Caenorhabditis elegans: one gene and its partners. The protein of the gene in region 4 interacts with the protein of the main gene of each other region in a pairwise test. Each region holds a gene or a part of one and is shown on either strand. Other genes may lie near its edges.

Region 1 (8,160 bases), on a different chromosome or scaffold from region 4:
CACTTAAAAGTAGAGATTAACGTTTAAAGTGCGATTTTTTTGCTAATTTCTGCTGAAAAATAGAGTGTTATAACAAAATGTTTCTTTTCGTATGATTTTTCTCTTATTCTTTTCAATTTTCTGGCAATTTCCCTTGGTAAGAACATTTTCGCCAGAAAAATGACCGATAATTTGGAAGAAAAAATGAATTCGTTGAAAATGTAAGAATTTTACGGTTTAAATTGCCACATCTACTGATAAATTGAGTGGACTGAAATTATGAGAATTTGACGGATTTTCAGTGAATTTAACTAAGAAAAAATACACTTTCTCGAATTCAAACCTAAAACTTTTTTTTCAGCTCCAACACGGCCTCTCTTCATTTCAAAAAATAAATCAAATTGACGTGATGAACTTTCTCTGTGTCTCTCATGGGCGAGAGAGTGAGCTTTTTGAGCCGAATTTGTACTGAAAACGGTAAAATAGGCCGGAAACGGCTGATAGTGAACAAAATCTAATAAAAATTTACTAACTGCCTGATCAAACACATAGAAATTATATGAAAAAGGGCAAAATTGTAAATCACCTATGAATACGCCCACATGTGAAAGTTCAAAATTAGTGATTTTCCAGACAAAACTGATTAAAGCCGGCGATTCGCTGATAAATCTTTAAGTTTTTTATTAATATATTGTCAATTAAGACTAAGTGTATCTATTTTTATGCAAATATCTAGGTTAGTGATGTTCACGACGCCGGCAGACGGAAAAACAAAAGGCTACCTCAAAAAATGGATTTTTTCGGGACCTCTAGTGATCCTTGAAAAGAGAAATTTGAAAATTGAAGGCCACCATTTTGTAGATAATTTTTTTCTGATTATTTTCTGTTTTTGATGAAGGTTTTTTGATGAAAATTGACGTCGGCATCTTCAAAACAAGAATTAGGCCTGAAAACTCCAAAAATCGTTAAAAAACGACAATTTTTGGCGGGTTTTCCTAATTTTACGAGACGCACCAAGACATAATCAAAAATTCAACCTCACCAAAAGTTGCAAAATTCTCTAAGGAAGAGATTAAGATGTCAATCACCTGATTTGATCAAAAACTGATTGAGTAACTTCAGTTTTAAGACAATGCGATTGTAATTTTTGGACAACCGCAAGCATAATAGTTGATGTGAACGCTTTTGAAAACATATAACTCGGTAACCAGAAAAGCTATCAAGAAACTTTGAACTACAAAAATAATCTTGATAACACAAGAAACATTTTCTATGTTCATAATACTTGGCTATTCTCACAAAATACATAGTTTAAGCTATGTAAAGATTCAATGCTTTGAAAAACTTTGATAGAGATACCACGAAGGTATTCGAAATTATCCGTTTGCACAATCATCTCAAAGAAGCAAAAAATAACAAAGTCTGGATTAGTACCGTCTGATACCTTTTTCATATGTCACTTTTTGTTTTTCCCGTACGGGATCCCGTCTTTACAGTCGGCAACCGACTGAAACCGAGGCCACCAATGAATAACTCAGCTTGTGAACCCTGCCGGGAAAGTCTCATCAGTTTTCCATCAGTGTACGACAAAAAATATACCGTATTTCCTCTATTAGTCTTGCAGCTTCTATTAGTCTTGCACCCCTATTAGTATTGCACCCCTACGGACCAATCGAAAATCAGTCATGCGGACTCTATTAGTCTTGCACCCCTACGGGTCAATTGAAAATTAGTCTTGCATTCAAGACTAATAGAGGAAATACGGTAATTGGGTACGATAGGAATACGGTAGGTTTATAAGTTATGTAAGTTTCTACAAATGTAACTACTTCAGTTTCTCTGTACCAAACTTTGAAGAATTTTTTATTACTTTAAAGATCACTGAAATAGTGAGCCGTTGTCTACGAGATCAAATATGTCCGAAAATTACCATTTGGTATCGGTCCTAACAAATCAGTATTTATACCAAAGTTGTTTCTTCGTCAATATTTTGAATTTAATTTAAAAACACATATATTATTCAATTTTCAATCTCACGTGAGAGAGTGTGAGAGAAAAAGAGGAATTTTGAAATAAATGAAATTGAGAGAGGCCGTGCTCCAAGGCTCCATCGATGTCGAATTTGCCATTGGACGTCATTCATAAAATTGTGGAAAAGGTTGAACCAATCGAACGGTATAATCAGAACTAGTTTTTGGAGGATTAATTAAATTGAAAATTTCAGGCTTTCTGTCCGTAAAGTCTGCCGCAACTTTCGTGCAATCGTCGATAATAAGGATCCTGGAATCAAGCGCGTTGTACTTAACATCCATCACTCTCAATTCCAGATGTGGCTGCTTGACGCAAAATCTACTGTAATTCACTATGATTTCAGTCATTCGCATTGCACAGTAAACTACAATGATCGGAATGAGCGCTTTAAAGGAGTGAACGGCTTGAAAATGGCTGAGACAGACTTGTCAGTGGTGATGAAGAACTCGAAACTTCAATTGGAAGTCCTTGAATTCCAAGGATATGATCGTATTCAAAAGAAGGAAACATTTATGAATTGGTTCAAAGAAATGTCCGATTCAAAAAACCTCTACAAGGTAAAAAGAATCGACTTTTCCATTAATCTTCCAACTTTTGCCGCAACAATTTTTCCGCTTCTTCAACCAGGATTTCTAGAAGAAATTTGCATTTACTGCAGCGGGAATCCAGATTACGTCGATCAATTATTTGAAATGGAGCAATGGAAAAGAGCCAAGTCGATTTTTATTGATTCATATGGAGAGAAGCATTTCCCAATTGAAAATCTCTTCCATCTTACCCACTTCTTCATTGATACGGCGTATCTTTCTGTCGCTGATGCTGTTAAAATCAGAGATGTTAGTTTTTTAATGTTCCTTCAAAAAAATTGTCATTTTTTCCAGATTCTCTTGAAATCGACTGTTTTTGAGTCTGGAATCATCACTTCTAGAAATATCTTCAGCGTTGGAGTTGTGCGAGTTTTCAATCCAAATTTCATTGCTAGAAGACCTTTTCGCGTTGACTATGACAATGGCTCTCACTTCAGCCTCTTATACGATCATATTTCTATCAAAATCGAAAAGAAGAAATAAATTAAACTGTTGTTCACTCGTGTGGTTCTCATTAAAATAAACTGTTTTGTTGAAATCTGTTTTTTTTCTTGTTAAATTACAATTTTGAGACATTTTTGTATTAAATTGCAAACCTTGTTGAAAAGTGGAGATTTTCCCGAAAATTTGCTGGAAATTGTGAGAAAAACTATAAGTGAAAAATTGAAATTTATTAGATTTTTTAACTAATTTGCATGGAAATGCATGGATAACCGGTGCAAATTATACAAAACCTCAAGTATTCACGATTTTCTTTTTTTGAGAAAATGATTTTTTGTTTCAATATAGATGAAAAATTGAATTTCAACCCGGAATATTGAGAGTTTCGACGATTTTCTCTCAAGTTTCACGATTTCTAACCAATTTTTGACTCTAAAATTCAGGAAATTTCATTAAAAATCAATAATTTTGAAAACATTTTAAATTAACTTCAATTTAAAAACCGGACTACGGTACACAACTCCGCAAACACCGCACGGCGTGTTCTGTCTACCGTAGTACGGCGCAATAAAAAAAAATAAATTTTTTTCCAATTTTCGAACTTTTCACCCAATTTTCGGCGCTTTTTTGCTGATTTTCGACGAAAAACTGAAGGAATTAACAAGCGCAATGGAAGGTTCGTGCTTTTTCAACTTGAAAAAGGTAAAATTCGAAAAAAAAAATACCTCTTAGGATTCAATTTTTCCATTAATTCCGCAATTTTTCCATCCTAAATTGATATTTCTCACAGAATTGTTTGATTTGTCTTATTTTCCGGCAAAATAATGTTTGAATTCGATAAAAATCGGAAAAATTCGGCTGAAAATGGTGGAATTTACGCCAAAATCCAGATTTTTCGACTTTTCAGCAAGTTTTTGGGTAAAACTACGCCGTTTTGACGAAAATTGCAAGAAAATTGACTTAAAATTTGACTGTATAATTTATGAGTTAAAATTTAAATTCTACTGGTTTTCCGGTAAAATTGCAGTTTTTATTGTTACAAAAGTTCTAAAAAACTGAATTTTGCCTTAAAAAACCCGTTTTTCTGGAATTTTTTGCTGAAAAAATTGAAAAATTGCTTTAAATCTCGTTTTTAAATCAATTTTTCTGTCAAAATCTAACGAAATCTCTCAAATTTTCGATTGGTCTGCTAGCGTTTTTTGTAGTTTGTAGTCTAGCAGATTAAATTTCTGAGATTGGGTCTGCCAGACTACAAATTACAAAATGTATTTAGCAGACCCATCACTTTTTCGACTAAATTTTGCGTTTTCAGGTGAAATTAAGCAGATTTAAAGGAAAAAACTCAGTTTTTCACAGAAAACCGACAAAAAATATGAATTTTTCGTATTTTCAGAGTTTTTTCGGCGAAAATTGTGATTTTATGCATAATTCTCTGTGAAAATTGATTTTTTAAGTCAATTTTCGTGAATTTTCACATTAAAATGTCGAGAAAATGCACATTTTGAGATATTTCCCGCAAAAAAATCAGGAAAAAATGCTCAAAATTGGCGATTTTTACCAAGTTTTATGGTCTGCCAGACTACAAACTACACAAAATGTATTTAGCAGACCCAAAAAAAAACATTTTTCGCGAATTTTTTTGATTTTTTTCTTGCATTTTTGATCAATTAGCATTAAAATTCACTAATTTTCCTCCCCAATTCCAGAAAAACCGGTTTTTCTGGAATTTTTTGCTGAAAAAATTAAAAAATTACTTTAAATCTCGTTTTTAAATCAATTTTTCTGTCAAAATCTAACGAAATCTCTCAAATTTTCGATTGGTCTGCTAGCGTTTTTTGTAGTTTGTAGTCTAGCAGACCCGAGTGGGTCTGCTAGACTACAAACTACAAAACGTATTTGGCAGACCCATAGTTTTTTCGACTAAATGTTGCGTTTTCATGTGAAAATACGCAGATTTAGACGGAAAAAACTCGGTTTCCCATAGAAAAATATGAATTTTTCGTTTTCTTAGACGGTTTTTTGGCGAAAATTGTGATTTTACTCATATTTCTCTGTAAAAATCGATTTTTGAGTCAATTTTCGTGAATTTTCATATTCAAATTGCGAGAAAATTCAAAATTTGAATTTTTCCAGCGAAAAAATCAGGAAAACTGCCCAAAATCACAGCGAAATTGACGATTTTTACCTAGTTTTATGGTCTGCCAGACTACAAACTACACAAAATGTATTTAGCAGACCCAAAAAAAAAATTTTCGCGAATTTTTTTTATTTTTTCTTGTATTTTTGACCAATTAGCATTAAAATTCACTAATTTTCCTCCCCAATTCCAGAAAAGCCGGTTTTTCTGGAATTTTTTGAAAAAAATTTGAAAAATTGCTTTAAACCTCGTTTTTAAATCATTTTCCTCTCAAAATCTGACGAAAATCTCTCAATTTTTCGATTGGTATGCTAGCGTTTTTTGTAGTTTGTAGTCTAGCAGACCAAATTTCTGAGAGTAGGTCTGCTAGACTACAAACTACAAAATGTATTTAGCAGACCCATATTTTTTTCGACGAAATTTTGCGTTTTAGGTGAATATAAGCAGATTTAGACGGAAAAAACTCGGTTTCCCATAGAAAAATATGCATTTTTTTTAAACGGTTTTTTGGCGAAAAATTGTGATTTTATGCGTAATTCTGTGTGAAAATTGATTTTTTAAGGCAATAATCGTTAATTTTTCCTGAAAAATTCCGCGAAAATGCAAGATTTGAATTTTTTTCCCGCGAAAAAATCAGAAATCTGCTCAAAATAACAGCAAAATTGACGATTTTTACCAAGTTTTATGGTCTGCCAGACTACAAACTACAAAAATTGTATTTAGCAGACCCAAAATCCATTTTTTTTTCGCGAATTTTTGGATTTTTTCATGCATTTTTTATTAATCAGCATTAAAATTCGCTAATTTTCTCCCACATTTAGGAAAAAATCGATTTTTTTTTGCCAAATTGCCCCGCTCTCGCCGTTCTTTTTGGCCATCTGCTCTCCGAATAACACTTGGCATGCTGCCAAGTGTCCCACCAACAAATCCCATCGATTTTCGATGTTGGCGAGGGACAAAAAGTGACGACGATTAGAGAGCATTGAGAGCTGAGAGAGACGAGAGAAAACATGGAACCTCTCGTTGTCTGCCGTCTCTTCATCTCATCATTGTGTCCGTCAACTGACTCATTTCTTCGTATTTACGCGCTCTTTTTTCGAAGGAGGACGCGTTCCGTTTTTTTTTTTGGTTTCGTACAAATTTTTGGTTTTTTACGCGATTTTCTCGAAATTGCGTGTGAAAATTTGCAAAAAATTCGATTTTTCGTTTCAAAATCGAGCTTTCCTTCTAAATTATCAAATATAATCGTAAAATCGGTTTTTCTCTACGATTTTTCTTCAAAAGCTGAATTTTTTGCTGAAAAGTGGGTTGAAAATCACGAAAATTGCAAATTTTAACGCTGATCAATAAAAAATGCAAGAAAAATGGATTCTGGGTCTGCTAAATACATTTTGTGTAGTATGTAGTCTGGCAGACCATAAAACTTGGTAAAAATCGCCAGTTTTGCTGTAATTTTGAGCAGTTTTCCTGATGATTTTTTCGCGGGAATAATGCAAACATTTGCATTTTCTCGGAATTTTTAAGGAAAAATGCACGAAAATTGACTCACAAAATCAATTTTCACAGAGAATTTTGCATAAAATCACAATTTTCGCCAAAATACCATCTGAAAATCCGAAAGTTTACACATGTTTAGTTTTTTACACGATTTTCTCGGAGTTTTGTGCGAAAATTTGCAAAAAATACGAATTTTTCGTTCAAAAATCGAGCTTTCCTTCTAAATTATCAAATATAATCGTAAAATCGGTTTTTCTCTACGGTTTTCCTTTAAAAACTGCAAGTTTTGCTGAAAAATCCGTTGAAAACTGCGAAATTTAACTCTAGAGCGTGTAGTTTGTAGTCTAGCAGACCCAAATCGAGCGCATGGGTCTGCCAGACTACAAACTACATTTTCAATCGATTTTTCCGGATTTTTAGGTTTTAAATGTGATTTTCTCGGTGTTTCTTGTTGAAATTCGTGAATTTTCGGGAAAATTTCCTGAAAAGTCAGAATTTTTGCCGGGAAAAGCGAGTGTGCACTCTAAAAATTCAATTAAAACTCAGATTCCCCAATTTTCGCAAAAAAGGAGTTTTTTCTTTAGAGAAACTGCAAATTCCCCTCAAAATCCCTTCAAAAGTACGAAAATTAGCTCTACAGCGTGTAGTTTGTAGTCTAGCAGACCCAAATCGAGCGCATGGGTCTGCCAGACTACAAACTACACATAAAACTAGTTAAATAAAAACGTCAATTTTGCTGTAATTTTGAGCAGTTTTCCTGAAAAATCTCAAAATTTGCATTTCCTCACAATTTGAAAGTGAAAATTCTCGAAAAATTACTCAAAAAATCGATTTTCACACGGAAATTATTGGAGTTAGCCACAAAACTATGCATAAAACCACAATTTTTCTGTGGAAAACGGGGTTTTTCCCTGAAAATCTGCTCATTTTCACCTAAAAACGCAAAATTCAGTCGGAAAAAATGATGGTCTGCTAAATACATTTTGTAGTTTGTAGCCTAGCAGACCAATTTGGTCTGCCACACTACAAACTACATATTTTGCAAAAATTTGCGGTTTTTTCAGTGATTTTCTACCGTTTTTCCTCAATTAAAAAAAAATTCCTTTGAAGTAATATAAATTTCTCAAAAAAATCAATTTTTAGTTGTAGTTTGTAGTCTAGCAGACCCAAATGGTCTGCCACACTACAAACTACATATTTTGCAGTTTTTCGGGGATTTTGCATACGAAAACCAAGAATGTTCAACTTATCCACATTTTTCTCGAATGTTTTCAATAAAAAATAGGACAATTTTTGCTCTGAAATTCAATTTTTAGTTGTAGTTTGTAGTCTGGCAGACCAATTTGAATGTTTTTGCTCGTTTTTTCTGGATTTTTCCCAATTTTTTCCCTTTTTTTTTTTGCAGAAATAATGGCTGAGGAGTTCACCGAAGACTCAAAAACGCAACAAGGCGTAAAACGGACTCAAGACGCTTCAGATGGTCCAGCT
Region 2 (6,789 bases), on a different chromosome or scaffold from region 4:
CGGACGTCGAACACCAATTTGCCACTTTGATCTACGTAGATCTACAAAAAATGCGGGAGAAGATCTTCTCGAGACGCAGAATTCTCAACTGATTTCAAATCGTTAAGAACGTGCTGACGTCACATATTTTTGGGCAAAAAATTCCCGCATTTTTTGTAGATCAAACCCTATTGGGACATCCTGGCATCACGTGATTTGCCTAAAACCAAAAATAATGCGCATTCAGAGAACATGCCTATTGTGCCTACCTATTTATTAACTTTGACAGTAGATAGGCAGGCGGCTGCTTAGAGCCTATAAGCTAGCCTACCTAGGCAACCCACATAGCCTACCTTTCAACTTTTCAAAAGATCATTGGATCACTAACACAATGTGACTAGTTGTGGTTTGTTACAAATTGCCTCATTGTCACCCTAAACTCCCTATTATTTCCCGTAAATGATGACGATTTTGATCTTTTGTAGGGTTATCTTGAAGTGAAAGATCACTAAGTACCCAGACTGCACTCTAGTCTTTTTCCCCTTTAAATAGTCTCGAGAATGAGTTTGAGAAACTAAAAATGCCGTCCTACAAGCTGTCTTATTTCCCAGTTCGTGGTCTAGCCGAGTCAGCCAGACTTTTATTCCATCTTGCCGGAGTTCCGTTTGAGGATGAACGGGTGAACTTTTTGGATGACACCTGGGAGAAGATGAAAGGCAGTGAGTTTGGGCAAAGTGGTAGGGTAGTGCAGGGGTGAGCGGCAATATTTGCCAAATTTGCTGGTAACCTAGCGCGGTAAATTTATCAAATTTTCCGTTTCCCAAGCTCGGCAAATTTGTTGAATATGCCCGACTCGCCGAGCTCGTCAAGTCTACCATATTTGCCGTTTTTCATGCTCGGCAAACTTGCCGAATTTGACATTTACCGAGTTCGGCAAATTTGCCGAATTTACTGTTTAGAAAGTTCGTAAAATTTTCCGAATTTGCCGAGCTTGGCAAGTTTTGAAATTTGCCGCACACCACAAAAATCGGCAGTTTGCCGGTTTTTTAAAAACAGTTTCGCCGATTGAAATCGAAATTATGAAATTTCCGAAAACAAATGTGCAAAACCACAATTTGCCGAAAAAATGTAGAATCGACAATGTGCCGGTTTGCCGATTTGCCCGAAATTTTCAAATTCGCCGGAAATTTTCGATTCCGAAAATTTGCCGATTTGTCGGAAATTTGAAATTCCGGCATTTTGTCTATTTGCCGGAAATTTTAAATTCCGACAATTTGCCGGTTTGCCGACTTGCCGGAATATGTCGCCCACCCCTGCTATATATCGAATTCCAGAAACCCCAATGGGACAATTGCCTGTCCTCACCGTCGATGACTTCGAAATCCCACAATCTGCTGCCATAAATCGCTACCTTGCTAGAAAATTCGGGTTCGCTGGAAAAACTCCAGAGGAAGAAGCTTGGGTAGACGCCGTCGTCGATCAATTCAAAGATTTCTTTGCGGAATTCAGAAAACTAGTCATTGCAAAACGAGTCGGAAAATCTGCTGAAGAACTGGAAAAGTTAACGGCTGAAGTTATAAAACCTGCTATGGATGTGTACTTCAAAGTTCTCAATGGCCTACTGGAAAAGAGCAAGTCAGGATATCTGATCGGAGATTCAATCACCTTCGCGGATCTTTATATCGCTGACAACATTCAAACACTGAAAAAATATGGGCTCCTAGAAGCTTCTGGAGAGCAACCAAAACTAGCAGCTCATCTCGAAAAAGTGTATTCCCACCCCAATCTGAAGAGCTATATCGCAAGTCGTCCAGTAACGGAGATCTAATTTTTAATCTTACTAACATGTTTTCCATATTCAAAAACAAAATAAAGAAGTTTCCTTTGACAACCAGAAACTTCATTAATGTTGACTGCCGCCGAAATGTCCTTGTCAATACTCTCTCACGTGGGGGGGGGGGGGGGGGGTAAACAAGAAAATGTGATGTTTGGTGAACAGAAAGGGTAGGGGAGAATAACAAAATAAAAACGAAGGAGGTTTTCTAAAGAATGATTGTTCTGGATTTTTTTTTGTTGGTTTTTTACAATTCATTTTTATTTTTATACTTATGCCAAGTTGAATTAAAGATGGAGCAGAGTTTCTGAAGTTTGCATATATTAATTACCTATTTTCAACAAATTTAGACGGCATTTTATTTTTGCCCAATTTTTTTCAGCCATCTAAGGACTGTCCTTTTTTTGGGCAAAAAAAATTTCTCTGAAACCGTTCGAAACTACTGGAAATTGAAAAAGGGCAATTTTTTAGTGTTTGCAGATCAATTTTGAGTCCTCTATCTATAAAATTGACCATTTTAGAGGAGTTTCAAAATTGTGATTTTTTGCCATAAATTGCCCATTTTTGCCACGTTATAGTTTTTGATGGGTTAAACATAGATTTTCTGAATTCAGCATACACGAATTACCCGTTTTCAACAAATTTAGCCAAAAATTTTTTTGCCCAATTTTTTTAAAGCCATCTAATGACTGTCCTTTTTTTTGGGCAAAAAAAAAGATTTTTCTTAAAACGTTTGGAACCACTGGAAATTGAAAAAGGGCAATTTTTTAGTGTTTGTAGATCAATTTTGAGTTCTCTAACTAAATTCAAAATGAACCATTTTAGAGGAGTTTTAAAATTTGTGATTTTTTACAATAAATTGCCCAAACAATATGTTTTTAAAAAAATTTTTAATGATTTTTTTTTTCAATTTTTCAAAAATCAAAGAAATGCCCAAATTATATTTGAATTCTCGCGCAAATGAGTGACGTCATTTTTGGCTAAATTTATGCGTTTTTTTTTAAAATTTTCTTCTATATTTGATTTAAAACACAAATTCGGCAATTGTTTTTCAAATTGAAAACTTTTTTCCGTAACATGGAAGAAATTGGTCTAAAAAACGGAAATTTAATATTTCTTTATATTTTTTTTGTTTTAGAAAATTGAATGTTTGAAAAATTGACAAACGGCGATTTAAATCAAATGTAGAAGACATATCAAGAAACCCCTCCAAAATTAGCCAGAAAAAGCGAAAATGCATAGAATGACGTCACTCATTCGCGCGGGAATTCAAATTTAATTCGGACGTTTTTTTTTTCAAATGGAAAAAAATTATTAAAAATTTAGAAAATTTTTAAAATTTTTTGACAGTTATATTTGGTTATTACGACCTATTTTCTGTGACTTAAACCCAAAAAAAATTTGAAAAAGCTCTTCTTCTCTTTTCAAAGTGGGGTTTTTTTCGAAACGTGTCCTGCAAAAAAATGTAAATTTCCAAAAAATCGTTTTTATTTCTCTTATTTTTCTTTTATTTTGAAATTTTAAATTTTGTGCTCTTTTTTATCACAATGCTCAAAGACCACCGATTTCCAATTCCCATATTATATTTTTGCTTAGAGACGTAAGCCTCAAATAAATAGACTTAGACTGTTAGAGACCTCGCTTTTTCCACTCAATTTTGTCGATTTTCGAATCCACCTTTTTCAATCTTCCAGAAATAAAATGCCACAATACAAGCTAACATATTTTGATCTACGTGGATGGGCTGAGCCGGCTCGACAGCTTTTCCATCTCTCGCATACTCCATACGATGATATTCGGATTCCAATGGCCGATACTGAAGGGAAATGGGAGAAAATGAGAGACAGTAAGTTCTTAAAGTGAAATGTGTTGCTTGTAGTTTGTAGTTTGTAGTTTGTAGTTACTGATGCCACACTTAATTTGAAAAAGTTTGAACTAAAAAACATTAAATTTCTTGGCTTTCGGGGAAAAATCTTTTTGTAGTTTGTAGTTTGTAGTTCGTAGTTTGTAGTCTGTAGTTTGTAGTTTTTAATTTGTAGTTTGTAGTTTGTAGGTGCTAGTTTGTAGTTTGTAAAAGGTTTTTTGGTACGAAAGTATTTTGAAAAATTAATTTTTGTCAAAAAAATAGTTTGTTACTTGTAGTCCGTAATTCGTATTATGTAGAATATAGGTTGTAGTTTGTAGTCTGCAGATTGTAGTTTGTAGTTTGTATATTGTAGTTTGTAGTTTGTAGCTTGTAGAAAGGATTAGATATTTCTGTTTTTTTTTCGTATAAATAGAAAGTCACTACATCCAGCTTTAGGGTTTCATAAGATCTTCAGGCGTACGCGCCTACTTTTTGCCTGCCTGCCTACGTGCTCTCCATTGTGACTTCTTGTTTAGCGCAGATTTCAAATATTTGTGTTAAGTATAAAATGTTCGATTACAAACTGAGAGTATGAACACACGATGGCAGACGTAGGCATGTAGGCAAGCGTGCCTACAAAGAAGACCTGCCATAATTAATTCAACTTCCAGAAACCCCATTTGGTCAGCTCCCAGTACTCAACGTTGATGGCTTCGACATCCCCCAATCTGCTGCAATTTGTCGATACCTTGCCAAGAAATTTGGTTATGCCGGAAAAACTCCAGAAGAAGAAGCGTGGGCGGACGCCGTTGTCGACCAATTCAAAGACTTCTCCGTTGCTTTTAAAACACTCCTTTTTGCCACAAGGGCCGGGAAACCAGAAGAAGAAATCCTCAAAATCCGCTACGAGATTTTCAATCCAGCTCGAGATGTCTACTTTATTCTTCTCAATCGAATTCTCAAAAAGAGCAAGTCAGGTTATTTAGTTGGTGATGGGCTCACATGGGCTGATCTAGTTATAGCTGATAATTTGCACAGTCTGGAGAAGCTTCGAGCCATCGATGATGATGATGAAGGACATCAGAATTTGAAAAAGTATAAGGAGAAAATCTATGGAACCCCAGATTTGGAGGATCATATTGCGACGAGAATGGATACAGAAGTCTAAATTTTGAATCGCGTTGAATTTTTAAAAACTGTGATAAAAGATAATAAACATATTGTAGTATTTTATGCGGATATTTTTTTACCGAAATACTTTTTTTTGAAATAATAGTGCGAGAAGTGCAACAGGGCTCCATATGATTTTTCAGTACTTTTGAATTTTTGAAAAAAACAGCTTTTGATGTATTTTCTGAACTTTTTAAAATAATCTTCCGTACAAGTTAGCAAATTTTATTTAATATTTTTTGGTATATTTTATCATGCTAAACAGTTTTATAAAAGAAAAATGAAGCACTTCATATGATTTTTCAGTACTTTTGAATTTTTGAAAAAAAAACAGCTTTTGATGCATTTTCTGAATTTTTCAAAAATTTTTCCAATTTTCTGACTTTTTGTTTTGTGACCAGTGTTTCTTCGCAAAAACACAAACCACTCTTCTATTTCTCTATTTCTCTCACTCTCCCTCCCCTCAATTTCGGAGATTTTCGAAACGACTTTGTGTATATAAAGTACTACTCAATCATCTCCCATCAACAAACAATGCCACAATACAAGCTCTACTATTTCAACCTTCGTGGATGGGCTGAGCCGGCTCGGCAGCTCTTCAAGCTGGCTCACGTCGAGTTTGAGGATGTTCGTATTGAGAATGGAACTCCAGAGTGGGGAGCGTTGAAGCCAAGTGAGTTTTTGAAACATTTTTAGTGGTATTTGTATAACTGTCACGGATTTTGAGAATTTTTTAAAAATCAGATACGGTGGTCCACTCTAAGCCTAAGCCTATGCCTCGGCCTATGACTATACCTAAGCCTAAGCGAAAGCCTAAACCTAAGCCTAAGTCTGAATCCCAACCCAGGAATCTTCCAGAAACCCCATTTGGTCAGCTCCCATTCCTCTCAGTCGATGGCTTCGAAATCCCCCAATCCGCTGCAATTCTCCGCTACCTTGCCAAAAAATTCGGCTACGCTGGAAAAACATCAGAGGAAGAAGCGTGGGTGGATGCAATCGTAGATCAATTCAAAGACTTCGTCACCCCACTACGCCAACTCATCATGGCTCAAAGATCCGGAAATGCGGAGGAAATCGAGCGAATCCAAAAGGAGGTCTTCGCGCCGGCCCGGGATACATTCTTCAAAATTCTTAATGGAATTCTTGAGAAGAGCAAGTCAGGATTCCTAGTCGGAGATGGTGTAACTTGGGCTGATCTGGTGATAGCTGATATTTTGACAACTATGGAGATGCTGGGAGTGTTTGATAAGCACGGAGAGGAGCAGAAGCTTGCAGCGCTCCGTGAGAAGGTTAATGAGATACCGGAGATCAAGGAGCACAACTCGTCGAGACCAGATTCTGTTGTTTGATATATTATGTGTATGTTAATAAAGATTATTATATCATAATGAGTGATTCTAAGGTAGGTAGGCACGCTTTCAGGCTGCCTACCACCTAAAAAAGATGGTTTTGACAGTAGGCAGTAGATCAAACGTATGTCTGTTAGAAGGCAAGTTATCTAGGCACGAGGCAGGTGTAGTTTGCCTTGAAGGCAAGCGGGCAGTCTGTGGCCTACGTAAAGGGTCTAACATAGACAGTAGGCATGGGTGTAGGCACAAAGAAGGCGTAAGTCACACCTGGGGAGTTTGCGATCAAAAGAAACATCCTGCCGTCAAATAAACCTATGCCTGGCTGCATGCCTTCCATACAAGCCTGACTAAATGCCTGCAAGGTAACCTATGTTTATCTGCATACCTACAAGACTGCCTATGCCTGCCTGCAAGCCTATGAAACTTTTGAACTTTTCGACAGAGATCATTCTAGAAATCCCATATTTTCGAACAAAAAAGTCATGTTTGTCATCATTTTTCCTACAAAAGACCATGAATCGTCGCCGCCATATCCAATTACAAATAAATCGAATTATCTTCTGAGATCAATATCAAGATGGCAGTGACCTCCCCGCCGCCATCGCATAAAC
Region 3 (8,069 bases), on a different chromosome or scaffold from region 4:
TTTGTCGTTTAATCTCTTGAATGATTTTTCCCGAGCATACATAACTTCCAACTCTTGCTTGCATCTCTGAAAATAAAAATACAAATTATGTTTTTTTTTAAAGATCTATATCACCTGCTCATTTCGTACTACCAAAAAAGTTTCAATTCCAGCTAAACCAAAGCAGATTGCCATTGCCTTTCCCATAGTTCCACCGCCAATAATTGCTACGGAATTTACATCATAAGCTTCAGAATTCGTGTGATCACCTCGATCATTTGGCAGAGACCACTGGAAGTATACAATTCAAATAATTTAATTGGAAATGAAATCACCTGTCCCGCCAAGGAATGAGCTTCCATCAAATAGCTTCTGACTTCTTCTGGAACTTTGCCCATTTTTTGATTGTTTTCAATTCTGGAGTATAAAAATTTAATCGGCTGAACAACATTGTTTATACAAGTTTAAAAAATGTTTGAAAAATTTAAACACGATACAGTTAATATTTTTTCAGAGTTTTCAGACCACCCTTTTATAGGTACTTTTCATTTGTAATATATCACGTTTTTACTGCCCACTTTTCCAAATATTTCGTTAGTGATAACAAAGAGGATTTTGTCCCGACATTTCGTCCGTGAAGTTCCCGGACAGAAAATGATCTAGTCGATGTTGTCACTGTCTGTTTGTTGATTCATTGATGATAAGAGCTGATGAGACTTTGGTGCTTTCAGTACACTGTCGTCTTTGTTTAAGAGTAAAACACGAAATTCCGTCTAGATCTAGATAATTCAAAAATCAAGTGCAAACATGTGCCTTGTGAATATTTCTGTGTATAGTTTATTGTTTCTTATCTGTATATGTACATACATATGTGATTTATTTGGAGTTGTTTACTAAATTAAGATGTTAGGCTATAACTTGTTTTGATACTTTGAAAAACATCCAATTTTCATAGCGCAGCATATCGTGAGATTATTACGATATCCGAACAAAAAACTATCGCCAACTTTTTTGAAAAATAATGCAGATGGACGCGTATCTCTGGTAGGGCTCAACAAAGTGTTGTCTGAAATTTTTTAAAGGTGGATTTTGTACAGAAGTTGGCTTGAACTGAAATTTTTAAATATAATTATTGTGCCCTACAGAGTACAGCTAAAAATTTGAAGTTTATTGTCGGTCATATCGAGCACCAGAGGAAACACTTTTTTCTTGAAAAAATGTGTGTTCTACCTATTTACCAAGTATTTTTCGTTTTGATATCAAATTTTTAATCCCAACACAATCAGTAATATTTTTTAATACAAAACGTCATTTCAGCAAGGCAGTCTTTATGTTGATTTTTGTGATTCTGTAAGGCAACATTTACTTCCACTTTCTTATCAATTTTCAAGCTCAAATGTCTAAGAGTAAGGGTTGATTTCATATGACAGTGCTTGTCCGGTTGAAATACGAAAAACGCCCACAAAATCCATGTTACTGATAATAATGATAAGTGTACAATTGAATGTCTCAAGATCCGTTTTTCGCTAAATGTACCGTACTTTTATTTTTATAATTATTATTTGTGCACCTCACGGGGTTTATCCAAAAAAATACAGAAGACATTTTAATTTTCAGAATTAGAGATGGGCAATTGGTCTTGCAGATTGATTTGCATCAAACTTTCGACAAAATTTATAATCCCCAGCATGTCATTTCTTGTACATAGTAGATCAATTGTATACAGGGTATTTATTTATGTTTTTACAATAATCATCTCTTTGAACATGGTAACGAACTACAAAATTTATAATTTCGCTGCAAAATTCTTCCTGTCCACATTTTGCAACGTGGCCGCAACTTTGTATGTTCTATCATTTGGTTCTAAAGAATTCCAGAGAATAATTGTGCTCGCAACTTTTTCAATTCCTTGAAGCCATCCAAATCTCATCGGACCACCAGTAGCAACAGGCCATCCAAACCCGAGAATGCTGAAACAATTGTGCTCATAATTTTAATTTTTTTTTGAAATTAAGTTTTACTTACAACATGATATCGATCAAACTTTCATGATGGATGATTCCTTCCTCAATGCACAAAAGACCTTCGTTGACCATGGGATACAAGAGGAAATTGACGGCATCCTGGTAAGTTTTCGGTTGAATTTGAATGAAATTAGAAAGTGAGTACCTGATCGTTCAAAATTTGTATATTTGGACTTGCAGCTGAAGAAAATTTTCGAATGAGCTGCTCCATTTCTATATCATTCTCCTTTTTGTGAGTATTTGGATCATATTTGTAGTATCCCTTATCTGAAAATTACACCTAAATTGGTAAAAAATATTGGGCTTTTCGTGACAGTTTTGAAAATCTTCATTTTGAAAAAATAAATTGAAAACAATAATTTCCGGTTTTCCTTCTGGAACGTTCAAAATTTTGATTGGCACTTATCATTACCACTGAAAAAATATTTTAAAAATTTCAGACTTCAGCTTGTCAAATATTTCAAACTTTTCTTATAGCCGGAGCGAAGGTATTTGTTTTTTAACCTATGTATAACTATTTGCCGCTGGTGATACTCCAAAGAAATTGAAATTATCCGTTTCTCAGTTCATTTCACAATTTATTTAAAGACGTACTTGTTTTTCTACCGTATCTCTTTTGTCTCCAAACTTCCTTTTCAAAATCACTTGCTGGCCATCCATTCTCCTTTTTCAACTTTTCCATTACATCTAATCCATTCATATCAGCTACTGTTAAAGGACCCATTAGGAATCCAAAGTTTGTAATGATTTTATCAATTTGATGAGGAAGATATCCGTATTCATACATCAACTTTTGACTCTGATTCAGATAAACTCCAAGTAGCCGGTTAAATACAAATGCTGGACAGTTTCCCACAAGAACTGGTAGCTTTTTGATAGATCTACATGCTTCAAAAGCTGTAGCAACTGCTTTGGAGGAAGTTTTCGATCCGTAGATCACTTCAACCATTCGAATCAAATTTGCCGGATTGAAAAAATGAATTCCAACTACTTTTGTTGGATCTCTAAGTACTGATGACATCTGAAAGTGAACATGTTCTTTTGGAATAGTTAACTTAAAGCGTACCTCATTCAAATCTAAACTTGATGTGTTGGTTCCAAAAATACATGATGGTTTGCAAATTTTATCAAGTTTAGTGAAAAGTTCCTTTTTCAGTTTCATATCTTCAAAAACGGCTTCTACAATCTGAAATTTTTCTTTTTTTTTCTTTTGAAAATAAAAACAAAAACTCACCAAATCACAATTATTTAGCTTTTGAAAATCTGTAGTTATCTGTAGATTTTTTCTCAATTTTTCAACTTTTGAATCGTTCAGTCTTCGAAATGCTTTTTCCCTTTTGTAAGTGATTTCCAATTCATTTTTACAGAATTCGGCAGCCTGCAAACAAGTTTAACTGAATTGATATTATTTTTAAACTTTATGGCTACCTTATTGTTAACTTCGACAAGATACGTCTCAAATCCTGATAAACAAAATGCGATTGCAATTCCTCTTCCCATGGTTCCACCTCCAATTACAGCCACTGATTTGATTGGAATTGATTTCGAATTTATGTAGTCACCGCGATCATTTGGAAGAGACCACTGAAATGATCAATTTTCATATTCTGATGTAAAAAAATTGTGATTTTCAGATATTGTTAAAGCTGAATGCTGAAAAACTTTGCAAAGTGTAAAAATGCGCGTTTTTCTCGAGCAAGTTCTTCAAAAATTTTGGCAACTGACTAATCAAGGGATTTTCTTGTTTATTATTATTTTTCACCACAACTTAGAATTTTGCCATTGAATCATATAGTCGTGCTCTTCGATATTTGAAAAATACTTTAAAAAAATATTATTCCGATGTTTGCCGGATGAACTAATATTTTATATTATCAATGAAATCGAAATCTGTAACTTCAGCTATTTTCTGTTCTCTATATACTATAAACGATATCGTTTTAGTGATTTCTACCATTGCTCAATTCAAAATTCTGCCGAAAAGTGGTCTTCCCTCACTGAAAAATACCAAAAACAAACAATTCACAAATCTACAGAGTGCCCACGGATACGGAAAAGCGGAAAATAACTAATTTCTCATTCAAAAAACTTTATTATTTTAGTTTTCAAAGTTACCTGAGCCGCCAATTGATGAGCCTCCATCAAATAGTCCCTCACTGCTTGTGGCACTTTATCCATTTTTCTGAATTTCAAAAATCTAAATTTCAAAATAAAACCAATTGTAACGAATTAAAAGATCTAAAGAAATTGCATTGATATATGCCAGATGTGTCCCACGTTAGCGATCAATTGATAAGAAGAACATTGTAGCCTATAGGTACATTTTGGCCATTAAAACAACAATAAAACACGGTTTTATTTATTTTTGAAAAAAAATCGATGAAAAATCATAAATGTTTCTTCAATTTGTGCATCCGAGTGATTCGATATTTGTTGTAGTCATCTTGGATAGTTTCGATGATTTTCTGGAATAAATTTGTTTTTAAATAACTCCTTATTATGTAATTTCAAAAATAAGAATATAACATTAAGAACAACCAAACCCGGCATTTTGGAAAATTTGGACCATTGCTCAAAAACGAAAAAGTGGGAAAATAAGGAATTGAAATATTTTGGAACTCTATTAATTTATGTTAGAGAGAATTTCTGCAGAAGCCGTTCCTTTTCAAATGTTTTCTGTTCAATGTCTAGAAAGAGTGACCACATTTTGAATACACCTTGGCCAGAAATTGGTCAAACTTTGCTCGGAACGTGTTACAGATTTCAAATATGAGGTGACCTAAGTCTGACCCACCAACTTTCATTTTTTTTAACCTTCCAGAACGCACACATGAAGTCTTTACCAAGGCCTGATCAAAACCAAATCAAAAGGTTTTACCAAAATTTGACAAAGTGTAAATATTACAGATGCGCGGTCTAACGTTAATGAAAAGATATTATTCAGTAGGAAATTTGATTTCAGACTTACCGGATATAAATCAAATGCAGCATGCGTACCGAATACAAAATCCATATGACTGTAGTGTGGAAGTTCCAGTGATCCAGCGATTGTTTTATTCATTTTTGACAGAATCGAGTCTCTACAAATCATTCATTTAGTTACATCAAAACTAATATAATTGATTAACCGAATATCTTGAGTATCAGCCAAAATGTCGTCACGACTCCAATAGAGATAAGTTGGTGTGTTGATCTGTGTCAAATCATATTCCGGAGGAGTAGGTTGCCCGTATTCAATGATATTTCCATCAGTTCCATAATCAAACTTAGAAACAGTCTGTGATTTGACAAGTTGAATCCAGTGTTGCAAATCTTTTACAGAAGTGGCTGCAGGTGTATGACAAAGATATACACCAACTCTTGATTGATTGAACATTTTCTCATTTCCATCAATGAAACCGATGTCCAATGTACAAATATTTTGCATAAAGAATCTGCTGCACATGTAACTTATCATTTTTTGAACAGTTCGCGGAATTGACAGTGGAGAGTATGGAAGTCGACCGAGCAAGATTTCTGCATAAGTTAGAAACTTTGTCCCAAACAATCCAAATAGACCACCGATATGGGATACTGTTGCAACTGGAGCCAATGCATGGAAATGACGAATCTTAAATTATTGTTGCTTTTGAGGAGGTAAAGAAAGACTAAAAGCATATTAACTGATCGTATGTAACTTTCTACAAAGAAAATGTTTGTTAGCATACAGAAACTATAAATATATACTGATCGTGATTTTCAATTTTGTGCAAAGCATGAGCTTGAGAAACAAATGTTGGATTACGGCAACTACATAAGTAGTCACAACAAAATGTACTGTTTGTAACTACAATACCCCATAATACGAGTAGTCATACAAAAACATGTCAAATACATCCTTCATCGCACGGGTGCCGAAAAACTGTCTGACTAATTATAATTAGAAACGAATTAGATTTGTTTTAAAATTCTCTGTGTCTAGCAATAAATTGAAATACCTTCTTTGCAAATTCTGGATTTTCTGCAAGTCTTGAGAACATAATCATAGTTCCTTGTGAGTGTCCCAAATAATATAAAAACTCTTGTTTTGTCTCCTTCAATACCAAATCCACACTCGCTGTCAAATCAAATTCCGACATTTGTTGCCACGTGAAATTCCAAAATTTCTGATTTTCCGGTCCATAGCCAATATGTTTTTGTGATGCAGGAGTTCCACGGCTATTTGCAATCCAAATATCAAAACCTGCATCGGCGAAAACAAAACCAGCCGATTGATTTGCTAGATTCGGAATCCAAGAGAATCCGTCCGCAAGGAGGCCGTGTTGCATGAATACTATTGGACGTTTTGAGCTTCTGTCACATTTTTCTGAAAAATATTAGAGATGATATCAAAGGTAATTCACAGCAAAATTCAATGTATATTAAATTATTCAAAAACTTCTTTTTTTTGTTGACAGTTTGGAAATTTACCAATACTGGAACAAAGAGAAATCTGAAATTATTCATTTTGTTTAATCGGCCATGTTAAAAATCAATGAGAAAACTTGTACAAAATCTCTACTGCCGATACTTCATTTTGAAGTTTCCGTTTACGAAATAAATTTAATTTTCAAATGTCACATTTTTAACTAAAATGACAGACTTACCATTTTGTTTACATGGGATTCTGTGAAGTTCCAGAATATACTCATCCGTTGTTCTCACTAAATGTACTTCTGATTCATACCCAAAGTGTTTTCCTATTTCTGGCTACAAAAAAATTTGTTCTGAGATTAATAAAATAATTTTTCTCAAAATCTTACCACAGTCATGTAACATTCATCGTCAATAGCTAGACTTAAATTTATAGAAAATGAGAGTAAAATCAAAAATAAATCGATTTTTGACATGAATCAAAAAACCTTGGGAGGAGAGGTTATATGGCAGAGCAACAGGATGAGTGTTGGGTCACACCTGTTGTAACAATTACCACCTTGGACATGTCAATAACATATGTTGGGGTCAAGGATTAGGTACTTTTCAATTACAAGTGAAGTATTTTTAATAGATTAAAACACCAAATGAACAAATTTCGCGTTTTCTATTTTAAAATTCATCTTCAATCTAGATATTGTAAATGTACATGTAAAACTATTCACATTTTAGGTTTTTTAAAATGGCATTTAGGTTTTAATATTTATGACGATAGCTACAGTAACCCTTGCTTGGCACACTCCCTCATACTTATATTTCACGTGGTGTCAGGTTGTAACGGTTTGATCTCCAAGAAATGCGGGAATTTTTTCCCCAAAAAAATGTGACGTCAGCACGTTCTTAACCATTCAAAATCAGTTGAGAACTCTACGTCTAAACTCCCGCATTTTTTGTAGATCACAACGAAATGGGACATTCTGACACCACGTGATATTTGAGTACTCAAGTTAACAATGAACAATTATTTTATGCTAAGTTTTATGTGGTACTTGTTTAAATTAATGACTGAAAATAGTGAATCATAAAATTGCACTCTATGCTGTAACTTTTTTGGGATTTAAAATTTTTAGGACAAAATATAATAAGTTCGATTTTTGCATCTCTTTTTATTATAACAATTTAATTAAAAATACTAGCATTTTTCTTTCCAGAAATCCCGATTATTCGTTTCTACACATTATCAGAATTTCTAGACCACTTCTAGACCTACAAACTTCGGTAGATCAAATATGGAAGAATTGATCTTGACCCAATTTGCGACAGCGCGTGGTTTCTGATTTCCTTTCTCTGCATATCTCGCCGGAGGCGAGAACGCTCATTCGGGTTCTTTTACTTACTTAACCCCAATTTTTATTTTCTTTATTTTCCGCATTTCTTTAACAGATTTTCGTAACTTTTTTTCTCAATAAATTCCCTATTAAGAGCATATTTTCTTTCCCCACGCACAATAAGTTAGCTCATATTTTAAATACCGATATCGATACTTTCTCGAGATTCCACCTTGGCGCCAAAAAGTTTCAAACGCGGGGCCTAGAAAACACAATGGCCGCGAAAGTTTTCATCATTTTTTTTGTGAGAAATCAGAGAGCGCTCGAGAGCGCCGCTGTTTTAGTC
Region 4 (8,638 bases):
TTGACTAAAAATTCATGTCAGAATTTCAGCATCAAAATCTTTAAAAACAACATAATAAAAAAACGAAAAACACTATTAAAACGTTTCGATTGAAGGTTTTTCCGTCAAATACCTAACGAGACCCATGGTTTGGGGGCGGAGCGTATCATGTTTCTGCGTCCTCATAATATCACGAGTGAAGGAGCTGTTCGAATCAAAAAAGGTATAACGAGATTGCAGAATGGATTGTTTTTCAGTATTCACCTGCTTCAGAAAAGTGATGATTGATAGCTGGAAATACTTGAAAACAACTGAAAATAGAATAAAAATCTCTGCTACATTGCTATATTGAATAATTTCTCTCTCTCTCTGAGTCGGAGCAGGAAATGCACGTAGGTTCTCATTTAATTAGGTAAATCAACACCGAAAGAAAAGGGAAGCAAGTAGACGAAACGGGAAAACATAGTATTACATGAATTCTGCAAGGGATTCAGAGCACATACATATAATAGCATAGGAGAGAGCCGACACAAGAGAGGTGGGTGGTGGAGCAGGAGATGAAGGTGAAGGGTTTCTGAGCAAATTTGAAACATGTGCATTGGACATCAAATGTGTAATTTTGATATGTTGCACTTGGTCTTTGTGTTGGCCTGAGTCTAGTTAAAAACATTGGAACAATTGAGACATATCTGCCTCAAGTAATCATAGTTTCTGAGCTTCGAAATTTCTCGGTTTAATATAATTTAATTTAGAAATCTTGCAGCAGTTAAAATACGAGTTAAAATATATGAAAACACAAGTTTTGGAACTACCACAACTACGATTATATAGAAGACTGAAGAGTTTTCTGGCAAACAAACTGTCATTTTCCCACGATTTTCCTAGTTTTTCTAGACACAAATCGGGCACAATTGTGCCCGTTGGTACGAATACTTAATGAAAAATGTGCCATCTCAAATAAACCGAGCCTTTATAAATATATATTTGCAAATTGTGTGAGCCTTTTCCTATTTAAGCGGAGATGGCAGACGCTGAGGATGAAATATTCAAAAATTGTCCAGGATGTCATTCTGGAGCATTTAAATATTTTTGTAATTTTTAAGGATGTTAGTGTGGAATCTGAAGAGTTAATCTATATGGAAGGTGATGGAAGTTTGATTTAAAGTATCATAGCACCCGGGTTAAAAGAGTAGAGATTGAAAGAGCAAACTAGAGCAAGTGACCTAATTGAATTGAATTCAACGAGATAAAATGTGCGGAATGAGAGTGCGAGCCTATGTATGTGCACGGGCTCTTCGTCAGAAACGGGGGCAAACAATGGGGTTGAATATTTTGCCACCCCGTCTATCGTCCATCCTTCCTCTCCCGTCAGTCAGTTCGATGAAATGGAAAACGGGGGAGGAAAGGGGCGTGGCGGGAAAGGAAGGAAGGAAAGAAGAGGCTCATGCAATTTCCAAAATTGCGAGGAGTGCGGAGCCGGCGGCGGCGTGTGCTCCTCCAGCTCAAGAGAGGCTTTTAAGCTTCTCTGGGCGACGGAAGGAAAACACTGAGCGCGCGGGAAACGAGACGAGAACTTTGTAACCATTGACAAACATACACAAAAGAATGGACTTGGACTCTTGGAGCCATGCAGTTAAACCATAGAAACCACCGCATTGTCTTCTTATTTTCAAAGAGTAAGAAGGAAACTCATTCGACGGGAAACTAATTTAGTTGAGAAGAATACGACGCGGCGTCGAAGAAAAGGAAAAAAAAAGAAACGCGAAATTGAAAATGTTTGCTTCAAGAAAGGCATAAAATGAGTCAGAGTGTCACTCATATATTGCGTCTGAACATATAAAACCTGCCTAGCCATTATATGATGATAAGCCGGCGCCGTGTTAGTTTCGTAAAAACGTGCGAATCACTGTGTGCAGAGAGGGAGACAGAGAGGCAGAGAGTGGACTTTTTGGGAAGATGGATAAATTCGGAGAGTACAGTCTAGAGATGAAGATCATGCAAACATGATTTTATTTTGCAAACTATCCAATAGTTCAGCATTTATGCAAGTGTCACTTCTTTTTTCTTTAAAAAAAATACGAAAAAATACTTCAAAAATTTTGAAACAAAACTGTTTGCAACATTTTTTTTTCGAAATTTCAAACTTTTCGGAAATTACCGCCTAGCCTTGTTTAAATTAACTAGGACCAGTGGACAAAACGACCACTTCGACAAATCTTGTTTGCTTTGATCTTCTTTTTTTGCAAACCGAAACTACAGTCACTATAGTTGTACTTTGTAGACATCTAGAACGTTTCCGAGCAAAATACAATAGAAACAATAGCAAAACAAACATATAGTCTTCTCAATCAGGGCACTAGGTCTATTTTCATAAACATATATAATCATATGACTGAAATAAAATTGGAATTTCGATGTCTTGTTGTAGAAACTTCACGCTAAATTTGAAACAGGGGGAAAACAAATCTGTTGACCGAAGAGATGAGTGGAACACAAATCTATTCAATAAATAAACCTACACTGGTTAAAGATGAAAAATTAAAAGTTCGAGTTATAGATCGAAATAAAAGGTGATTTCTGGTATTTCTCACTTCCCGGGCGTAAAAGGTCATAAAAGACCTTTGCCCTTCTCAACCTAGTGCGAATTGTTCTCTTGACGGCGGCAATAAACGGCAGGTAGTTTTGCATTTAAAATGAAACGAGGCACGATTTTTGTCGTTAACATAAGACCAAGATTTCAGTTCTATCAATAATAAAATCTAGTGTAAGGAATAAAAGTGAGGGAAATGACGGCGATTGGGAAAAGACTAACTAGTTCCATGCGATTACTGTTCGACATGGTAGAAGGCGTCGGCTTTTAAATGTATATACGATTTGATATTCGTATGGTGAAACCTAGAGGAATAGAAGGGAGAGACATGGTCATCGGCGGGAAAAGAGAAAGAATAGGGAAAACACGTCATGAAGTGTATATGATAAGACATTTGGGACGATTGGAGCAATATCAGAAACTTTATATGGACGTTAGTCATTTGGAATGTGACTTGTGAACGATAGTTTGAAATGTTGGTGTTGAATCACCTATTCTATAAACATTTTGAATATTTTTGGACAGCTAGCGCATGAATTGTGAAAAAAAAACAAAAACGCGTTGTTATAGAACTTGAAGCAAAACTAAATTGTACAATTATTAATAATTTTTAGTGTGAAATTGAGAATAAATCTGTCATGCGGAGGCAAAACAAAACGAGAGGCAGCTTATCTCACAAAAAACGTTTTCTATTCTTTCTCCGAAATTTGACACTGAATTCAGTTCATAAAAATCCTATTGACAATTAACGAACAAAATTATTTTTAGGGAAACATGGAAGAAACAATTGAAGAATAAAATAAATTATAGAATAGAGTGTTTCAAAGAGAACAGAGATCTTGTTTCACAGAACCATGCTATCGAAAATGAAAAAAAAATCGTAAAAGATCCAGAATACTGGCTTAGCAGCAAAGAAAAAGCCTTCACTTTTCGCGGCGATTTGTGGCGTCAAATCTGATGTCGGCTGTGCGGCTCGTCTCGACGCACAAATGCACACTTGTGTTTGCCGCCGTCTCTTCTTTTCGAATTTCGATTTTTCTCTCTTTTATCGTATTTATTTTTCTTTATTTTCTTCGTTAAATCAAACGTTTTTTTGTTTTAAAATTTGCTAAATGGTTCTCGCGGCTTAAATATGCATTATCAGTCGGAAAATCTCCAAGATGTTTCAGAGAATTGCTCCGATAGATAAATTTCGAAATTGTTCCTCTTTTTGAAAACTTAATTTTCGGTTCGGGAATTTTAAGAGAGTTTAGAGCATTCTAGTCTTTCTGTAAGATATCAAGTCAAATTTTGCTCGAGTGGCCTATTTGTAAGTAAAGAAGCAAATAAGGTGCGATCACAAAACTTTTTACTCATCTGTGCATAAGTTTTCGATCATTGTTGTAACATAGTTTTTCAATTCGATGTCAAATCAAGTATTACATTGGCGAGACAGTTCAGTAAATAATCTTTTATCTCTTTCAACAATAAAAATGGGCCACTCAGCGAGCAGATTATTTTAGTTACAATTAATTTTCGACTTGTTAGCAATCAAAATGGAAATAAAATTTCAATTGTTTTTTAAAGAAGCCCGTTGTTATATGAAAACATTTGCTTATCGTCTAATTGATTCTAGTTCAACTCATTCAGAAAGCTTAATCCAAGATCCGTGTTCCATCAGCCAACATGAACAGAAATCGTCGAGACGGACCACAGCGTGATGTTAAGCGAGAGCGTCGGAGCCGATCCAGAAGTCCAAGAAGAAGTATAGTTTTTGATATTCTTCATTCCCGTTTCCACCATTTTTTCCATAGAAATCCTTCTCTATTTTCCATTTCCTTAAGGTCGTATCGGCGCTGCTGTTGGAAGTAACAATGGGAACTCATCATCGAACAACCGAATGGTTTTTATCACCAATATCGCCTATGAGGCTCGTTGGGTCGATTTGAAAAGTCTAGTTCGCGAGAAAGGAGGTGAAGTCGCTTTCTGCGAGTTGCTCGAAGACCGTAACGGCAAGCCAAAGGGTAACGCTGTGGTTGAGTTCGAAACTCGTGAGGGTGCCGAAAAATGCGTTGAGAATCTACAAAAGTTCGACTGGAAGGGAAGAACCATCATCGCCAAAGAAATTCGGGTCCGTATCTATTTAATTTTGACACTCACATTCAGAAATTTTCATCCATTTTTTATTTTTTCTGTAGGATCCGAATGCTTTCTTCCGAACCATCAAAACTGAAACAGGCATTGATTACTTGTCTCGTACCGGAGGTGGTGGTGCAGGAGGACGAGGTCCTCCACCAAAAGATCTTGATCGCCCTACTCGAACTGGAACTTATGATTTATTCGGTCTCAATATGGAATTCCTTCGCCAACACAACATTGAACCGCCACTCTGTGAGCGCATCTTCATCGCCAATGTAGGTTTCAAATATTCTTCTTCTCGAAGGGCTCCACATCTAGACCACGTTCACTTGCTGGGTCTTTATCTCAGTTTTGAGATATGAAATTATTCGAATGGGAGAAATAAATGCAATTTTTCATTTTGGTGTTTTTAAACGGAATAGTAGTAGGAAGCTTTCTACGTGGAATTATATACAACAAAATGGAATCAGTGCTTATTATAGTTTGTTCAGACAGTTGCATCCTCCGGGTAGATCTCTCAGTATCATACGAATAAAATATAGCATCACTAATTCAGTTACTAAATACCATTCTTAGTTCCCAATCAGAGGTGGTTGGCAATTATTTTCGGAAATGCTACAAAATGACCTATTGCGACATGTTTTTTTCAAAAGTTTTCATCAAAAATTAGTCTGAAAATGTAGATAATCACTTGATTTATCTGAAAATTAAAAAAAAATTATCTCGTTTTAAACATTTGGAAAAGTGCGCGAAAATGACCAAAAGTTGCCATTTGCCGAGAAACGATAATTCAACAATTTGATGATCGGCAATTTGCAACATCCTGGTATTTTTGAAGCGCTTTTCCAAGTGTTTTATCTGAAATAAGTGTTATTTTCAGATTTAAAAAAGTGATTTTCTATATTTAACATGGCGAAATATGTCATTTTATAGAATTTCCGAAATTCCACTTCTGTTTCCAAGACAATATTATTAATCAAACATTTTCAGTTGGCTTTCAATGTCGGAACCGATAAGCTTTACGAAGTCTTCGGTATGGCCGGTAAAATCACCTGGATGGACTTCCGCATTGATAAAGAAGGAAAGTCAAAGGTTTGTTAATATTTATAGTTCCTATAAAATATAAATGGTGTCTTCCAGGGAGTATGCGTAATTCAATACACTCACCCAATTGAAGCCGTACAAGCCGTTTCGATGCTCAATGGTCAGCGACTTTTTGATCGAAATCTGGTTGTGAAAATGGATAGATTCGATAAGGAACTGGAGCACAAAGAAGGTGGACTTCCACGAGGTCTTGAGTCAATCGGAATGGGTCTTGGAGCAGAAGGAGCACCACTTTCCAATGTTCATGGAATGTTCCCAGGAGATGCTTCAGTGCCGGTAAGCGATTTAAAACAAATTTCATCGGTGTGGTATATACTAGCATTCAATGGTGGTTTTAGATTTTTTTAAATCGAAAAATTAATTTTTTTTAAACAGAAATTTTCGGGTTTCCAACATTTTGATTTTTCGAAAAATGGCCTTTTATAAGAAAACGATATGTTTTCTTATGTTTTTCCCCATCAACAATCTGAAAACTTAATACAAAAATGGGTTTTTATATTCCAATTTGCTAAACATGTTTTTCGATTTTCAGAACAAACGGAACTTTCTCTGAAAAAAGCACAAAAAATGTTCGATGAAACTCTTGATAACAAATACTCAATTATAAAATTTTTAAAAGTTAATTTAATTATCTATATTTCAGTTCACAGCTCCAGCTGCCCCATTCGTAGGTGGACCACAAGTTGTTTCGGCTGGTGGTTTTGGAGGAGTCGTTGAACAAGCCAACTTTGCCCGATCCGTCATGAACAATGGACCATTTGGAGGAAATGCTGGTGTTGGTGGTGCTGGTGGAGCCACATTTGCTCAACCTGACGTCTTTGGTGTCAATGGAGCTGGTGGACTCGCCGGTGCTGCGACACCCCAGGCAACAAGGGTTATTATCATTCGCAACGTAAGTTTTCAATTCAAATTTCAATTTGTTCTCATTTATGATCTGTTATTCAGCTTCCAAGCGATTATACCTGGCAAATTGTCCGTGACCGTGTTCGAAACTTCGGAGAAGTCGACTCTGTTGATATGATGGCGCCAGGAGCTGCTCGCATTCGTTTTGCAACTTTCCAAGACGCTGAACGTGCTCGTGCTGCCCTCTATGGATCCACTGTCGAAGGCCGCATGATCAGCGTTGACTACGCCTAATTCATTCCCCCTGTTATATTTGTATTTGAAACTTCTCACGTTTCTCTTGAATCATCATCTATTATCTTTATTTTATCCGTTTTTTCTCCATCTCTATCCTTCCTTATCCCTTTAAAAAGGCTTCCTTGTCAACGGAATCTCAATAATTTAAAACATCTTCCTCATTTTCATCACTCTAAAACTATTTCTCATATTTTCCTCTGGCAGGATGGTGACAAATAAAAGTTTTAATAATAAATGACGTGACAAGTGTGTCTTCAGATGAGCGCCGCACAATTTGAGGTGCTATTCAGAAGACAATTTAGCATGTGTGTCCCGCATCAAACAAGAGCTTCACGCAATCTGATTTGCGCGCGACAACTGCTGCTCAAACGTTTTACCGTATGCCCTTAATTGCGTTTTGAAGACGTCTCTCTCCTTCATGAGCAAAAGATAGTCACGCCCATGAAGAATCCTTTGTTGCTGAGAAAACGATGATGAGCATTGTGTGTGTCTATTTGTATGCTCACAACTTTCTTTCGTTTGTCTATGTTTTCATTTTTGACGCCTTTCTCTGGATTACGGTACCTTGAGGCTTTTGGAGAAGGATTCTGAATTCTGCTTTATAACGAGTACTGTTATATCAATTTTTTTAAAAATTAATTGTTTTTATTTCAAAACCGGCAATAAAAAATTTTGGCACCAAAAATACCGTTCCTGGTCTCGTCACGACAATTTTTTGTTAAATACAAACGGGTGTGCGCCTCAAAGAGTACTGTAGTTTCAAAATTTTAGATATATCCGTTAAAACAGTACTCACTTAAAGGCGCGCGCCCGTTTGTAATTTACAAAAATTATCGTGTCGAGACCGGGTACAGTATTTTTGGCGTAAAAATCGCATTTTAAATAGTTTCCAACGTAACATCCGTAACAATATCTTCAATTTTTGCCACGTGGCGAAACTTCCAAACAAACCGTGGTTCGATTGCGAAAACATGGAAACTCCCTGCTTCAAATGTAACAACAAATTTTTTTTTCAAATAAAAATCACGAAGGTTCCCATGTCAATTCGAATTGCGCAACTTATTGCAAATGTGTTCACATCTACCGTATCCAATTTCAAATCTTCAATTAAAGTATCAGTTGCCATAGATTTCAACTGTTTCACCCCCAAAAAAAAGTTTAGTTTGTAGTTTTTAGATTTGAATTGCCACGTCACACACATAATCTCCTCTTCCAAATGTTTTTGGATTTTATGAAAACATTATACTTTATTGATATCTTTCTGTTCACACAACTAATACGACTTCTGCTACAGTGACTTCTTTTACTTTTGGACAATTTGATTTGAAATTTTTTGTTTTTTGGAGTTTTCAGAGTTGAAAATGGGTCTAACATGAAAAGAGATTGAGCTTACTGTTGGACTTCCAGACTTATTTCAGTTAAATCAAGTTTTCATAAATGGATTACTACAAAACATTGAGTGTAAAGGTGCATTGTGAACTCAAAAAAAGGTGAAAATGAAAGTTACATAATTTCTAAAAAAAAATTTAGTTGTTCAAAAATTCAAAAAATCCCTATTAAACTTCATTCGAAAATGTTCTCAATTGTGCACATTATCATCTCAATAAACATCCAAAAATACTCCATAATGAGATCATTGTACTTTCAAATCTGATCACTTTACAGTCACCAAATGAGTCTCTCGACTCATGGCTCATAAAGTACATC

The links.
Region 1: the proteins of sup-46 (region 4) and nova-1 interact in a two-hybrid assay, tested with the Caenorhabditis elegans proteins (one large-scale study listed by BioGRID).
Region 2: the proteins of sup-46 (region 4) and gst-15 interact in a two-hybrid assay, tested with the Caenorhabditis elegans proteins (one large-scale study listed by BioGRID).
Region 3: the proteins of sup-46 (region 4) and ech-8 interact in a two-hybrid assay, tested with the Caenorhabditis elegans proteins (one large-scale study listed by BioGRID).

What each region holds. Positions count from the first base shown.
Region 1 is NC_003283.11:18,077,378-18,085,537, reverse strand, and holds the start of nova-1 (K Homology domain-containing protein), read left to right. Parts: upstream 1-3,631; 5' UTR 3,632-3,707; coding exon 3,708-3,714; intron 3,715-5,497; exon of another isoform or gene 5,498-5,582; intron 5,583-7,281; exon of another isoform or gene 7,282-7,369; intron 7,370-8,077; coding exon 8,078-8,160. Other genes in the region: fbxa-106 (F-box domain-containing protein), read left to right, coding at 411-456, 2,067-2,154, 2,204-2,846, 2,892-3,080.
Region 2 is NC_003280.10:13,609,869-13,616,657, reverse strand, and holds gst-15 (glutathione transferase), read left to right. Parts: upstream 1-3,461; 5' UTR 3,462-3,514; coding exon 3,515-3,659; intron 3,660-4,330; coding exon 4,331-4,827; 3' UTR 4,828-4,888; downstream 4,889-6,789. Other genes in the region: gst-14 (glutathione transferase), read left to right, coding at 560-698, 1,314-1,807; gst-24 (glutathione transferase), read left to right, coding at 5,364-5,502, 5,688-6,178.
Region 3 is NC_003282.8:10,234,934-10,243,002, forward strand, and holds ech-8 (Enoyl-CoA Hydratase), read right to left. Parts: upstream 4,244-8,069; 5' UTR 4,182-4,243; coding exon 4,119-4,181; intron 3,588-4,118; coding exon 3,432-3,587; intron 3,382-3,431; coding exon 3,238-3,381; intron 3,190-3,237; coding exon 3,070-3,189; intron 3,025-3,069; coding exon 2,598-3,024; intron 2,271-2,597; coding exon 2,149-2,270; intron 2,103-2,148; coding exon 2,005-2,102; intron 1,950-2,004; coding exon 1,766-1,949; 3' UTR 1,693-1,765; downstream 1-1,692. Other genes in the region: ech-9 (Enoyl-CoA Hydratase), read right to left, coding at 1-66, 115-270, 315-377; lipl-7 (Lipase), read right to left, coding at 4,391-4,468, 4,972-5,083, 5,132-5,613, 5,981-6,348, 6,629-6,731, 6,785-6,871.
Region 4 is NC_003279.8:10,168,164-10,176,801, reverse strand, and holds sup-46 (RRM domain-containing protein), read left to right. Parts: upstream 1-4,198; 5' UTR 4,199-4,234; coding exon 4,235-4,313; intron 4,314-4,392; coding exon 4,393-4,679; intron 4,680-4,746; coding exon 4,747-4,962; intron 4,963-5,677; coding exon 5,678-5,779; intron 5,780-5,827; coding exon 5,828-6,067; intron 6,068-6,434; coding exon 6,435-6,683; intron 6,684-6,736; coding exon 6,737-6,928; 3' UTR 6,929-7,163; downstream 7,164-8,638.